Linked DNA regions of Lonchura striata. The protein of the gene in region 1 interacts with the protein of each later gene in a biochemical or structural test. Links are inferred from orthologs where the notes say so. Each region holds a gene or a part of one and is shown on either strand. Other genes may lie near its edges.

Region 1 (7,954 bases):
TGTGGTCTTATTGTTTTATCTTTTCTCAGGTCTTTTGACTGACTGCTTTTGTGATCTCTCAAGCATTTCATCCTAGCTGTTGGAGGAATGAGACCTAACTGTTTTTAGTATGAGTCTCAATTACAAAGATGTTTATCCTGAACAGACCTCACACCTGTTATTAATAGGAAAGTAAAACAATTAAAAGAGTAAAGGAGATTCAGAGTTATTCCAGCCTATCCTCTTTTCCTTGTGAATTCCCTATAAAGATTTTAGATAAGTAATTTGTAAATGCTTCTTTACCTCCCATTCCTTTTCAAGTACAAATCCCATTTGTTGCTTCCTTGCAGGGCAGAATGGCACTGAAGGGCCAGTGAATTGGAGCAAAAATAAGGACCTTTGTTCTTTAGAAACAGAAAGTTCCAAAGAAATCTATTTGTAGTAAGGTAAGTACCATGATCTTTGGTAGTTAGAGATGTAGCTGAGGTAAAGCATACTTGCCCTTACTTTGTGACCGTGTCTCCAGGATGGGGAACAGGGACTTCCAGGGTGGACCAGACAGTTCTGACCAAAGGACAACTGTAATCTGTTTAATCTTTCTCCACTTTCTTCTGCCTTCCAGGTGAATAAAAAAACCTCTGTCATCTCTACATGGTTACTGTTAAACTCCAACACAGGCCTATTTCTGCAGATGAAATATACCTGGGGTGTTTCAGAAGCTCCTTTACTGACTGTGTTTCTACTAGTCTCACTTGTTCAGTGGCAGTTACCAAAAAAGTTCCCATGTTCTTGCTTCTTGTTCCAGGATGCAGTAATATAATGCCAGGTTGAAAGAGAGAAGTTATAATATGTCACTAACCAGAAGACCTCGAGGAAACTTTTGACCACAGTGCTAGCTGCATTGTGCAATTCTGACTCTGATTTCTGTTCTGGACCAATTCACCTCTCCTCAGCTTAATGTTTCTCACTTTCATGTGGTCTGGAGATGCACTTTTGATCTAGTCTTCTGGAAATCTGTGCTTTAGTTACCAATATGCATTAGATGTTTGGGTATTATATCAACTAAGGCTCTCTTTTTCTTAGTTTGAGATTAGGTGGATTTTTTTTTTTTTTTTTGTCTTTAAATCCTTGGAAGAAAATACTTTCCTGGCAAACAATTTCCATTGTTTTAGATACTGTGAAATGTGATGTGGCTTATATGAGAAACTTGGTGAACTTGGGGCCATTGTCTGTTTGGGTTTTTTTGTGTGTTGTAAAGTTGAAATTAATACTGGTTCTTTGCATAAGATGCATGTTCCCTAAAACATGATTTAAGGAAACATCTGCTCACAACACATGTATTTGAAAAAAATAAATGGTGAAGTGCAAATACACATTGCTACTGTGGATCCCCATGAAAACAGCTTAATCTGCTTTCCCTGAAGTCTGTCTTTGATGCAAACTGAAGAGGGCCTTAGGTGAATGAAATGTCTCAAAAATAGTATCTCTGAAGAGCCCATCCTGCCTTTAATAGTCTGTTAAGAAAGCAAGACTCTAACACACTCAAACACACACACATTGTTGCTTGCTATAAAACTAAGGTTCAGTTAAAGAAACTGGACACTTTAGATTGTAGAATAGCAAAGGTGGATGAAATTTGAAGAGTTAATTGCTGCTGTTTGGTACTTATGTTATTGCCCAGGCAGAGAGACTGTCTTTAGTTTAGATTTGTAGGATTTGTCATTACCAGTGTTCTCCCAAAAAAATGAGCATGGCTTTAGTATATTTAAAATGTAGCCTTGCTTTAGCATGATTGCGCAAAAATAACAAAACAAAACAAAAAAAAACCTTGTAATGATAAAGGCATAGGATTTAATGATTAAACTTTAAATGTGAATTGGAAACATAGCTTGTAACTTAAAATGTTTTCTGTGTGGAAGCACCTGGGTTTATCTGAGGACAGATTGACCACAAGATTACTGAATGCCAATGGCAATTACAGCCTTATTGGATAATGCACTGGACAGATCCTTAGCCTCTGTAAACTGCCCTAGCTCCAAGAAGTTCAGAAGAGACAAATTTACAGATCTGATCCACATTTTCCTATAGTGAAAGTATATATGTTTTTTACTTTCCTTAACCATCAGCTCTCTATCTTTATCTAGTCATATATCAACCCTGATGTTTCTGTCTGTGAAGAACTGCACGAGTTTGGACACTAATTTAGACTGAACTTTGGTCAAAAATGAAGCCTTTTAATTTTTAACTTCCTTGCTTAGCAGATATCTTTAATAAGTAAGCAGTGTCGTTGTTAGTTCTAAATTACACCTTTAACTGCTTTTCTGAGTGCTTGCTTACACTAAAAACCAGGCAAGCAAAAACATCCCAAACTGTATTTTAAATCAAAAGTAGAGCCCAATGAACAACTGCATTGCCTATGTTTTCTCCTTCTAACCTTCGAACAGACCTAGTCTCCATCTTCTTGAACATGCATAATCAACTGAAAATCCGTAGGTGTAGTTCAGTAACAAATCATGAGCTGCCAACAGGAACAGTCAACAGAAAGATGAGAAAAAGAGATGTGTTGCACCTACGTGGGCAATTTTGGGTGTAGTTATGGGAAAGCCTTGAGGAGTTTTTATTCTTGTCTTGATGTATCTAGTCTTGAAGAAGTTCCATTCAATGGTGTCCAGCAAGACAGGGTCCCTTTAGTTGGATGATGAGGTGCCATGGTAAAGTGAGAGGAGAAAATTTTAGTTTAAGTAAATAGAGGTTAGACTTCTCCTGTGCTGGTTCCATTGTTACTATTGTTCAGCAGTAAAATATCTGGGCCTATCAGTTTATATGTCTCTAAATGAAAACTTTGTCTTGTGAGTGCAAAGAATAATGGGTGAGAAGGGCATGACCCACCATCTCAGCTCACTGTCAACATCATCGCCACCATTCCTGTTGGAGACTCCTTCTAGGCTCTCACCTATGGGAAAAACAGATGTGTAGAAATGGTGATGGTGAATGGGGCAGGAACACACCTTCTGGCTGCCAGCTGTGAGGGAGTGAAACAGGTAGGTGCCTCCCAAAGCTTGCATCCAGGTCACTTCAAGCGTACAGTGACATTAGATTACACATACCTCCTGGCCTGGGGATGCAGCTCCCAAGCACTGTTTACCCTCTCTGCCTCTTGCTGGGATGTGAACTGCTTTAAACAATTCCTCTTCTAATGAAGTACGGTCAGTCTGTGTTGGCTTTGCAGGCACCCATCTGTAGAGAACAGATCTGCTTGCTCCTCTCTCTGAGGATCCCTTCGTTCCCGCCCCATCGGCCTTGCTGGGAGATTAAAGTAGCAGCGGCCCCATACACAAACGCAGCTGGTTCCGTTTGGTCAGCCTGAGCCTTGCTGTGAAACCACGACAAGAATTCCAGTAAGTTGGCAACACTGAAACACAAAGAAAACAACAATAGGAAAAGACCTTCCGTGCAGAAAGGAATGTTTCAGGCGCTATTCCCCTACAGAGAAAGGAGAGAGGGTGGGAGGGAGGAGGGAGATTTGAAGAGGGCATGTCTCCCCCTCCCCCGGCAGCTCTGGATCTTGTGATGGAGAGATCTTATCCTCTCTTTGTGATTCAGAGGTGCCAGGAAGCTAATTGAATATTCTGATCTGCCCCCAGTGTTTCTTGTGGCTTGACCCCGGTGCTGTGTCGTACCACCACACCAAACAGCCCTGAACCTGCATAAATCACAACCTTGCAAAAGCCTATGCTCCACATCTTCTCTCCCCACCCCCCTCTTTACTATCTTGATAGATAGAAAGCCTTTACGGAAAGGTTTAGAGGGATTAGCGTCCTACAGGACCTGGAGAGAAATCACAGTCTGCTAATAAGCAGCGACATGTTCCTGTGCAACTTCTGCAGGAACAATACAGGCACCTCTACCTTTTTATTGAACTTGCAATCCATGGCAAAAAGAAGAATTAAGGTTTGAAATATTGCTTAAGTTCTTTTGCAGCATCAGCAAACAGCCCTTGCAGTATAATGAGCATGGCATGATGCTAATGCAAAAGATATGTGGTATCTGTAAAGGTGGTGTCATTAAAATTAATCTGACAGAACCTCTTGGAAGACAAATAGAGCTATCCTTCTCTCATGATATGTATGCACAGTAGTCACTGTTGACGTGCATGTGCATATGTGTACATATATGAAGAAAGTATAGCTTGGCATAACTAAATTTCCAACATGAAAGACTGTTTTTGACTACTAAAAAATTATTTAACTCCACGCATTTTATATATGATGCTTCTGATCCTGCAAGCAAAGCCTCTAAAAAGTTTGTTCTTTTTACCAAGGCTGCATTCCAGCCTGAAGTTAATCTTTATCTTCTCCCTGTGATCCTACACACTACTCTTCCCTTGTTAGTGTATATGGTTCCTGAAATGGCAGCAGTAAAACACAGGGAGATATTTCTTTGTGTATTGCACACACTGTTGGAGAGTTAAAACTAAAGGAGCATATCTCTAGTTGGTATCTTGAGAATTCACAGCTAAAGCACTTTACCAAACTGATTTTATCTGCTAAGAAAGTGCAAAAGTAAATTTCATCCCCACAGTTTTCCTTTCATAGTGTTTGTTGTGAGCACTACTAATTTCTAAGCTTTTCCTCTGTCTGCATCAGTGAGTAGATGCTAGATTTTTTTTCAGAGTTATCAAAAATACTTTTTCTTATTTGGGACACTAAAACCTATGACATTCATTACTTGCCACCCGCAGTTCCCAGAACTACTCAAAATAGATGAGCACATTAAATACAGCACCAATGGACTCTGATACGAAGTGAGCAAAGTGCAGGGTCTTGGAAGCATCTTGGCTATCCTGCAAAGTGTGGAAGGAGGGGCAGAGGGAGCCTGTGGCCGCAGGGCCTGGAGCACTGCCTGATTCCCTCATGCTGGTTCCGGGGCCGCCGGGTATAAAGAGCTTTATGCAATGTCTGGAGGGTGGGAGTTTATAGAAAACGCGATGTCTCAACAGGCGAACACGCCTTTCTTCTGCAACTAGCAGGACAAGAAAAAGATACCAGGCTCCTTGTGCTGGTGCTGTGCAGATCAGCACCCCGGAGTCCAGAAGCCAGCTTCTGAGAAAGCTGGAGCATCCCAACCCAGATGGGACCTCACCATCGGATGGATGGAAGAGCAACAACTGCTTGCAAACTGCTCATATTATTCACTGCATGCCTGATGCAGGGCAGTTGCCAAGGTAAGTGCTATGCTCCAGCCTCTCCGGAATAGAAATTGCACCGTAAGGAGCATATCCCTACTCTGGGGACTTTTATAAGAGAAAGATAAGGTGACTGAAAGTAGAGGGTTAACAGGCACTGATTCAAGGAGTTCTTTCTAATAGTTAGGGGAGACAGTTGGCTCTTTCCAGGAGTCATTTGATGGAGTCGGTTTCTGTTGTGGAAAAGTAAGTAGCGCCTTAAAAGCACTGCAAACATCACCGATTCTTCAGCTTAACTTCATCTTGATTTCAGATTATCGTAGGATGCTTCCTTTGATTGTTTTTCTAGTTTGTAGAAACTTTTTTTTTCCCTAGTTGTGTGTGTAAGCAACAGACAAATGTGGCTAATTTTTGATGGACATCTCAGACTTTGCAATTCCACGGTCTAAACGCATGGTTTTATGGAAATGCCAACAGGCAGGTTTTTCTGCGAGTCCTGATTACTGGCTGTGAATAAGGCCAAAAAAACCCCAAAAACAAGCAAACAAAAACACCCCAAAAACCAAACCACCCCCACAAAAAACCAAACAAATAAAAAACAAAAAAAAAAACACCAAAAAACCCCAAAAACAAAACAAAAAAACCCCAACCACCCCAGACTTTTTGCGTTTTTTCCTTGTGGTATTTGTGCCTTTCTTGCTACTGAAATACGGGTGATTTTACAGAGCAGAGTTCACCTGCATTCCACGAGCTGGTTTGGTAACCACTAAAATTGTACCTAGAGTTGTTTTTGTTGAGGAGTGCACAGCACTTGCACGTAGACAGGTTGGGTCGGGGGGCAGGGGGTTATGCATGGACATGCTTGCGTACGTGTGGTATATGCAGTCATTTACAGAAAGCTATAAGAAAGAAACAGATGCTTAGTCTGGAGCACAATAAGCTCCCCTCAGTCGGTCTCAGACGCAGATTTGAAGTTGAGAGAGGGAGAACTTTTTCTCTGGGCTTTACTGTTGCTAGGCGACATGGAGGAGCATGTGACTGGCAGAGCAGGCTGAGTGCCGCTCCTCCAGTGCTAATCTGGCTGCTGGGGATGGAGCAGCCGTGTGCCCAAGTCCTCCCTCCGGCCTCTGCAGCCGATATCCCTGCCTCCCCTTCTTCAGCTGTTTATTTGCCTTGCACTGAAAATCAAGCCTGTCGTGTTGGAGCACGAGTGGCTAAAGTGCATTTTTCCTCCGCCCCGCCTATTGACCTGCAGTTCTGCTGCTTCTGTGTGTGTCTGCATATTACGTGTGTGTTCAAATGGTTAATCTGCTTTCTTTGCTCAACTCTTAGTTTAAGCTCCTTAGACAGAATCAACTAAGTAATTATACAGCAACTGCTGTTAGCAGCTCCCACTTATGAACAAGGAAATAAGAGATAGCTAATGTGCTGGAGACCTGCAAAAACTCCAGCCAAGGAGGTCACACTGGGCAGAATTAATCCTATGCACTATTATTTTACATTGGGTAGAATGGAACTTGCAGTACAGATAAAATTTTTTTGTTGTTGTTCTGTAACTGCTTCTGATTGTCCAGAACATATCTGATAAAAGACATGACAGAACAAGCAGAGATAGGCTTTGAACTAGCATCCATAGTAGTATCCATACAGATTTTTTTTTTTTTTACTTTTATGATGTTCCTTCTGCTCTTTCTCCCAATCTCCCCTCCCCCCTGCCTCCACAGTAGAATAACTGTGGAAATCAAACACTATAATTTTAGTAATGGGTGACTGATACTAGGAAAATACCTGGATAGCAGGTATTTTGCCTGCACTTTGATTATGGCAGTGGAATATTTGTTAACCATAAATTACAGTTCCTTGAATGCTAAGATCATGTCAGACTCTTATTTCAAAAAGAAAATTTGAAGAACCATGAAAGCAATCCCAAGCCTTTGAAGGAAAATGGTGAAAATCTCTTATTTTGCCTTATCCTCAGTATTTCCAAAGGCACTTCACTGATGTTTTTTGAGATTTTTTTTTTTGGCAATTTTTGAGTGTTCCCAATATAAGATGGATGTTTCTAGAAGAATTTCACCTACACAATTCACCTTGTTCAATTGGTAGTACTCTTTTGCGATTTACCTAATTCTGGTTCTACTGAGAGTAACTGTAGTGCTCATAAACAGAATAAAAAAGTTTTGTAATTGCCAGCAGTACAGGGTCTGTTTCTCCTGCCTTTATAGGTCTTGTTGTCTGTGGGGTAATTGTTGTCAGAAAAAAGTGTAGCTGGAACCTAAAAAGTAGTTAAGTGAAGGCAGTGTCAAGCAGGAGCATTGTGGGACTATTGCTTATGTTTGTTTTGGGGAATATCAAAGTGCTTCACACTCAGCCATAAACTACAGACAATGGATGGATGTTAGTGCACCAAATTTGATTTGTATCCTGCACCTCTGCAATGATAAATTATCAGCTTGATACGTCCCAGGCAAATATGGCTAAAATTTTTTTACCATTATGAGGTCTCTATTAATCTGAGAATGAAGACTATTCTAAGAATGAATGCATATGGTGTGATAAGATATATAATCACAATGAACATTTGCATGAAGTGTGGCAGGCCATTAAGAAATAGGTATGGTAAGACCAAGTAGAGAAGAGTTACAGCAGTTCTTTCTGGAAGTCATGGAGAAACATGTTTTCCATAAGGCATTGTAATAGTTCAATCTCCAAATCAATAATTCAGTGTTTTTTAGATATTGTTTTCATTCAAAATTATTTAATTTTTCTGTAGGATGATGTACAGTGACA
Region 2 (7,252 bases), on another chromosome or scaffold:
GAATGTTCCAGTCCCGGGAAACCCGGGATGGGCGGGAATTCCACCCAGCGGGCCCGGGAAGCGCCGGGGGCACCGGGAGGGAGCCCGGCGGGATTCGGGACATTCCCAAATCCCAAAATCCCAAAATCCCGCCCCGAGGGGCCGGCGGCCTCTGTGCCGGGATCCGCGGGGCGATCCCGGTGCCGCCCCGGGGCTCGGAGCGGGATTTGGGATCGGGATTCCCAAAATTCCAGCCCACATCCAGGGCAGGGTCACATCTCTGATATCCCAAACCTCGGAGCGGGATTTGGGATTGGGATTCCCAAAATTCCAGCCTCGCCCAGGGCATCCGGTGTCCCGGTCTCTGTCTCCCGGTGTCCCGGTCTCTCCCGGTGTTCCGGCCTCTCAGTCCCAAAGTGTCCCGGGAATTCCGGCAGTCCCGGGATGTCCCCGCGGTGTCCCGGTCCCGGGGAATGTCCCCAGTCACTTTTCCCGTCACTGCTCCGGTGATTCCCGGTCCCGGTCCCTGTCCCGGTGCTGCTCCGGTGATTCCCGGTCCCGGGGGATGTCCCCGGTGATTCCCGGTCTCTGTCCCGCTCCCCGGTGATTCCCGGTTTCTGTCCCGGTGCCGCTCCGGTGATTCCCGGTCTCTGTCCCGGTGCCGCTCCGGTGATTCCCGGTCTCTGTCCCGCTCCCCGGTGATTCCCGGTCTCTGTCCCGCTCCCCGGTGATTCCCGGTTTCTGTCCCGCTCCCCGGTGATTCCCGGTCTCTGTCCCGCTCCCCGGTGATTCCCGGTTTCTGTCCCGCTCCCCGGTGATTCCCGGTCTCTGTCCCGCTCCCCGGTGATTCCCGGTTTCTGTCCCGCTCCCCGGTGATTCCCGGTCTCTGTCCCGCTCCCCGGTGATTCCCGGTTTCTGTCCCGGTGCCGCTCCGGTGATTCCCGGTCTCTGTCCCGGTGCCGCTCCGGTGATTCCCGGTCTCTGTCCCGCTCCCCGGTGCCACTCCGGTGATTCCCGGTCCCTGTCCCGGTGCCGCTCCGGTGATTCCCGGTCTCTGTCCCGCTCCCCGGTGCCACTCCGGTGATTCCCGGTCCCTGTCCCGGTGCCGCTCCGGTGATTCCCGGTCTCTGTCCCGCTCCCCGGTGCCGCTCCGGTGATTCCCGGTCTCTGTCCCGCTCCCCGGTGCCGCTCCGGTGATTCCCGGTCTCTGTCCCGGTGCCACTCCGGTGATTCCCGGTCCCTGTCCCGGTGCCGCTCCGGTGATTCCCGGTCTCTGTCCCGCTCCCCGGTGCCGCTCCGGTGATTCCCGGTCTCTGTCCCGCTCCCCGGTGCCGCTCCGGTGATTCCCGGTCTCTGTCCCGCTCCCCGGTGCCGCTCCGGTGATTCCCGGTCTCTGTCCCGGTGCCACTCCGGTGATTCCCGGTCCCTGTCCCGGTGCCGCTCCGGTGATTCCCGGTCTCTGTCCCGCTCCCCGGTGCCGCTCCGGTGATTCCCGGTCTCTGTCCCGCTCCCCGGTGCCGCTCCGGTGATTCCCGGTCTCTGTCCCGCTCCCCGGTGCCGCTCCGGTGATTCCCGGTCTCTGTCCCGCTCCCCGGTGCCGCTCCGGTGATTCCCGGTCTCTGTCCCGGTGCCACTCCGGTGATTCCCGGTCCCTGTCCCGGTGCCGCTCCGGTGATTCCCGGTCTCTGTCCCGGTGCCGCTCCGGTGATTCCCGGTCTCTGTCCCGGTGCCGCCGGAGCGGAGCCGGTTAAGCCCGCCCGGCTGTGTCCCCACGTGTCGCGACACGTGCCCGCGTGGCCCGGGACATCCCGGGACATCCCGGGACATCCCCCCGCGGAGCGCGACCCGGCGGCAACCGGCCCGGCCTGGTCCCGGTCCCCGTTCCGTTCCCGATTCCCGTTTCCGTTCCCGTTCCTGTTCCCGGTCCTGTCCCCGTTCCCGGTCCCAATCCCGGTCCGTGTCCCGTTCCCGTCCCCGGTCCCAGTCCTGGTCCGTGTCCCGTCCCCGGTCCTGGTGCCGTCCCCGGTCCCGGTGCCGTTCCCGTTACCGATCCCGGTCCGTGTCCCGTTCCCGATTCCCGTCCCCGGTCCCGGTCCCGTTCCCGTCCCCGGTCCCGGTGCCGTTCCCGGTCCCGTTACCGATCCCGGTCCGTGCCCTCGTCCCCGTCCCCATCCCCGGTCCCGGTCCCGTTACCGATCCTGGTCCGTGTCCCGTTCCCGATTCCCGTCCCAGGTCCCGTCCCGTTCCCGATTCCCGTTCCTGTCCCCGGGCCCGATCCCGGTCCCGGTCCCGGTCCCCATCCCCGGTCCCGGTGCCGTTCCCGGTTCCGTTCCCGATCCCGGTCCCGTCCCCGGGCCCGTTCCCGATCCCGGTGCCGTTCCCGGTCCCGTTACCGATCCCGGTCCGTGTCCCGCTCCCGATTCCCGTCCCAGGTCCCGTCCCTGTTCCCGATTCCCGTTCCCGTCCCCGGGCCCGTTCCCGGTCCCGGTGCCGTTCCCGATGCCGTTACCGGTCCGTGTCCCGTTCCCGTTCCCAATTCCCGTCCCCGGTCCCGGTCCCCGCGTGTCGGGGGCGGTCCCGGTGCCGCCCCGCCCCCCGAGCGCTGTCCCGGTTCCCGCCATTCTTCTCCGGGAGTGACGGGCGGGGAGGCCGTGCCTCAGTTTCCCTTGGAATGTGCATGGGGGGGCCGTGCCTCAGTTTCCCCCGGAATGTGCATGGGGGGGGCCGTGCCTCAGTTTCCCTTGGAATGTGCATGGGGGGGGGGCGTGCCTCAGTTTCCCTTGGAATGTGCATGGGGGGGAGGCGTGCCTCAGTTTCCCCGGGAATGTGCATGGGGGGGGCCGTGCCTCAGTTTCCCCTGGAATGTGCATGGGGGGGCCGTGCCTCAGTTTCCCCTGGAATGTGCATGGGGGGGGGGCCGTGCCTCAGTTTCCCCTGGAATGTGCATGGGGGGGGGGCCGTGCCTCAGTTTCCCTTGGAATGTGCATGGGGGGGGGGCCGTGCCTCAGTTTCCCCGGGAATGTGCATGGGGGGGCCGTGCCTCAGTTTCCCTTGGAATGTGCAGGGGGGGGGGCCGTGCCTCAGTTTCCCTTGGAATGTGCATGGGGGGGCCGTGCCTCAGTTTCCCCGGGAATGTGCATGGGGGGGGGGCCGTGCCTCAGTTTCCCCGGGAATGTGCATGGGGGGGGCCGTGCCTCAGTTTCCCTTGGAATGTGCATGGGGGGCCGTGCCTCAGTTTCCCCGGGAATTTGGGGATCCCGGGCCGTGCCTCAGTTTCCCCGTCCAGGTAGGCCATTAATTAATGGATTAATTAGTTAATTAGCGAAACCCCCCACCCTGGGGCCGAGTCGGGAATCAATAAATTAATAAATTAACTAATATTTGCGAACCCCCCTGGGGGCCGGGTTCGGAATTAATTAATAAATTAATAAATATGCGCGAACACCCCCGGGGCCGAGTTGGGAAATAATTAATTAATTTATCCATTAATTTGCGAACGCTCGCGCCCCCCCCCCCCGGGAATTAATTAATTAATTCACTAATTTATATTTGCGAACCGCCCCCGGGGCAATTCCGTTAATTAATTAATAAATTAATTTATATGCGATCCCCTCCCCCTCTTGCCACGGGCCGTGCCGGGAGTTCCCGGGGCAGTTCCGGTAATTAATTAATTAATTGATTAATTAATTGATTAATTAATATGCGAACCCCTCCCCCCATGGCCGTGCCGGGAGTTCCCGGGGCAGTTCCGGTAATTAATTAATTAATTATTAATTAATTGATTAATTAATATGCGAACCCCTCCCCCCGTGGCCGTGTCGGGAGTTCCCGGGGCAGTTCCGGGATTGAGCAATCAATGAGTTCATTAATTCATGCGTTAATTAATTAGCGGGGGCGGGGCCGTGACTGGAAAGGGGCGGGGACTTGCAGGAAAGGGGGCGTGGCCTATGTGTGGGCGTGGTCGGGGCGGGAAAGGGGGCGTGGCCTGCTCAGGGGGCGGGGCCTGGCAGGGATCGGACCTACCGGGGAATGGGCGTGGTTTGGTCGGGGGCGTGGCCGTGGCGGGAAAGGGGGCGTGGCCTGCTCAGGGGGCGGGGCCTGGCAGGGATCGGACCTACCGGGGAATGGGCGTGGTTTGGTCGGGGGCGTGGTCATGCCGGGAAGGGGCGTGGCCTGGTCTGGGGGCGGGGCCGGGGCCGTTCGAGAAAGCTCCGGGACCGGGACCGGGAACGGGAACCGGACCGGGAGCGGGACCGGGAACGGGACCGGGAGCGAGGTAACGGAGCGGGGACCCCGGACCCCCGAACCCCGAATTCCCGCTCCCTGAATCCCAAATCGCGAATTCCCAAATTCCCGAACCCCAAATCCCCGAATTGCCGAATCCCCGAACCCCGAATTCCGGTCCCTGAATCCCAAATCCCCGAATTCCCGGTCCCCCGAACCCCGAATTCCGGTCCCTGAATCCCAAATCCCGAATTCCCGGTCCCTGAATCCCCGAACCCCGAATTCGCGGTCCCTGAATCCCAAATCGCGAATTCCCAAATTCCCGAACCCCAAATCCCCGAATTGCCGAATCCCCGAACCCCGAATTCCGGTCCCTGAATCCCAAATCCCCGAATTCCCGGTCCCTGAATCCCAAATCCCCGAATTCCCGGTCCCCCGAACCCCGAATTCGCGGTCCCTGAATCCCAAATCGCGAATTCCCAAATTCCCGAACCCCAAATCCCCGAATTCCCGAATCCCCGAACCCCGAATTCCGGTCCCTGAATCTCTGATCCCCGAATTCCCGAACCCCCAAATCCCCGAATTCCCGAACCCTCGAACCCCGAATTCCCGAGCTCCAAACCTCCGAACCCCAAATCCCCAAATCCTAAAATCCCCGAATTCCCGAACCCCGAATTCCCGGTCCCTGAATCTCTGATCCCCGAATTCCCGAACCCCAAAATCCCCGAATTCCCGATCCCCGAATCCTCTGACCCCCAAAATCCCCGAACCCCAAACCCCCGAATCCTGAAACTTAAATTCCCAAATCCCTAAATACCCCAACCCCAAATCCCGGAATCCCGAATTCCCGAACCCCCAAATCCCAAATTCCCCATCCCAGAATCCCAAATCCCCAAAACCTGAATCGCCGGACTTCATATTCCCAAATCCCAAAACCCCAAATTCTCGACTCCCCAAATCCCTGCATCCCAAATCCCTGAACCCCCAAATCTGCAAATCCCAAATCCCCCTTTTTTCTCTTTTTCCCATTTTTTCCCCTTTTCCCCCTTTTTTTCCATTTCCCCCCTTTCCCATCCCCCCCTCAGTTTTGGGGTCCCCGGGCGTTTTTGGGGATTTTTTTGGGTTTTTTGGGGGTTTTTTGGGGGGTTTTTGGGGTGGGGGAGGGGCTGGAGCGGGCGATGCCCGGCGGGAATTTCCCACAATTCCCCGCGCGGGGCAGGAGCGGGGCCGGGATTTGGGATTTTGGGGATTTTGGGGATTTTGGGGATTTTTGGGGGCATTTAGGATTGGGGGGGGGGCGTTATTTAGGGTTTGGGGGAAATTCTTTGAGGTTTGGGATTATTTGGGATTTTGGGGTTCTTTGGGATTTGGGATTATTTGGGATTTTGGGATTATTTGGGATTTTGGGGAAGTTATTTGGGATTTGGGATGGTTTATTTAGGATTTGGGGGAAATTATTTGGGATTTGGGATACGGGAAGTTGTTTGGGATGGGTTCTTTGGGATTTGGGGTGATTTGGGATTTTGGGGGGTTCTTTGGGAGTTCTTTGGGATGCGGGATGGGGTTTTTTAGGATTTGGGGTTTTTTATTTGGGGGCGTTGTTTGGGGTTTGGGAGGTGGTTTTGGTTTATTTGGGTTTTATTTGGATTTTATTTGGACTTTATTGGGATTTTATTTGGGTTTTATTTGGGCTTTATTTGGGTTTTATTTGGGTTTTATTTGGGTTTATTTCAGTTCCTTTCCAAAGTTTAGCTTTTGTTCGAGTTTTATTTGGGTTTATTTGGGTTTTATTTGTGCTTATTTTGTTTTATTTGGGTTTATTTCACTGTATTTCCGTTGTTTTGGGTTTATTTGGGTTTATTTGGGTTTTATTTTGTTTTATTTGGGTTTATTTCAGTTCCTTTCCGTTGTTTGGGTTTATTTTGTTTTATTTGGGTTTATTTTGTTTAATTTGGGTTTATTTCAGTTCCTTTCCGTTGTTTGGGTCGGTTTCGGGTTTTTTTGGGATTTCACAATCCCGGAGCGGGCGGGGGAGGGGGGGGCGGGGCCGCTCCTTCTTTGGGTTTTTTGGGGTTTTTTTGGGGGGTGGGAGCTGCTCCTTTTTTGGGTTTTTTTTTTTTTGTTTTTTTTGGGTTTTTGGTTTTTTTTTTTTTTTTTTTTTGGGGGGGTTTTTTTGGGGGGGGGCGCTCCTTTTTTGGGTTTTTCTTTTGTTTTTTTCGGGGGGGGGCCGCCTCTTTTTTGGGGTTTTTTTGGGGGAGCCGCTCCCTTTTTTGCATTTTTTGGGGGTTTGGGGGGGTTTTTTTGGGCGGGGCTGCTCCTTTTTTGGGGTTTCTTTTTTCTTTTTCTTTGGGGGTTGCGCTCATTTTTTGGGGGGACACTCCTTTTTTTGGGTTTTTTTTTGGGGGGAGGGGGCGCTCCGCTCCTTTTTTTGGGTTTTTTTTGGTTTTTTGGGGGGGGGGGCGCTTCTTCTTTTGGGGATTTTTGGGGGGTTTTTGGGGGGGCCGCTCCTTTTTTGGGGGGGCATGGCCAGACCCCCCCGTCCCCATCCCCCCGACCCTGACCCTGTCCCCAGGCTGTGTCCCCAAATGTCCCCCAATGTCCCCAATTTCCCCAAATGTCCCCAATGTCCCCAATGTCCCCCCAAATGTCCCCGATGTCCCAAATGTCCCCAAATGTCCACAATGTCCCCAATGTCCCCAGTGTCCCCAGTGTCCCCCAATGTCCCCAATGTCCCCCAATGTCCCCCAATGTCCCCCAATGTCCCCCAATGTCCCCCCAGTGTCCCCAATGTCCCCAATGTCCCCAATGTCCCCAATCCTCCAATCCCCCAGTGTCCCCAATGTCCCCAATGTCCCCAATGTCCCCAATCCTCCAATCCCCCAGTGTCCCCAATGTCCCCAGTGTCCCCAATGTCCCCAATGTCCCCAGTGTCCCCAATGTCCCCAATGTCCCCCAATGTCCCCAATCCCCCAATCCCCCAGTGTCCCCAATGTCCCCAATGTCCCCCCAATGTCCCCAATGTCCCCAGTGTCCCCAGTGTCCCCAGTGT

The links.
Region 2: the proteins of LRP2 (region 1) and CLU form a complex in vitro, tested with the Homo sapiens proteins (3 studies listed by BioGRID). The link is inferred for Lonchura striata from reciprocal best matches to the Homo sapiens genes LRP2 and CLU.

The regions. Positions count from the first base shown.
Region 1 is NC_134610.1:19,577,088-19,585,041, reverse strand, and holds the start of LRP2 (low-density lipoprotein receptor-related protein 2), read left to right. Parts: upstream 1-4,936; 5' UTR 4,937-5,109; coding exon 5,110-5,203; intron 5,204-7,954. UniProt on the Homo sapiens protein: Multiligand endocytic receptor. Acts together with CUBN to mediate endocytosis of high-density lipoproteins. Mediates receptor-mediated uptake of polybasic drugs such as aprotinin, aminoglycosides and polymyxin B.
Region 2 is NC_134605.1:112,889,471-112,896,722, reverse strand, and holds the start of CLU (clusterin), read left to right. Parts: upstream 1-4,154; 5' UTR 4,155-4,255; intron 4,256-7,252.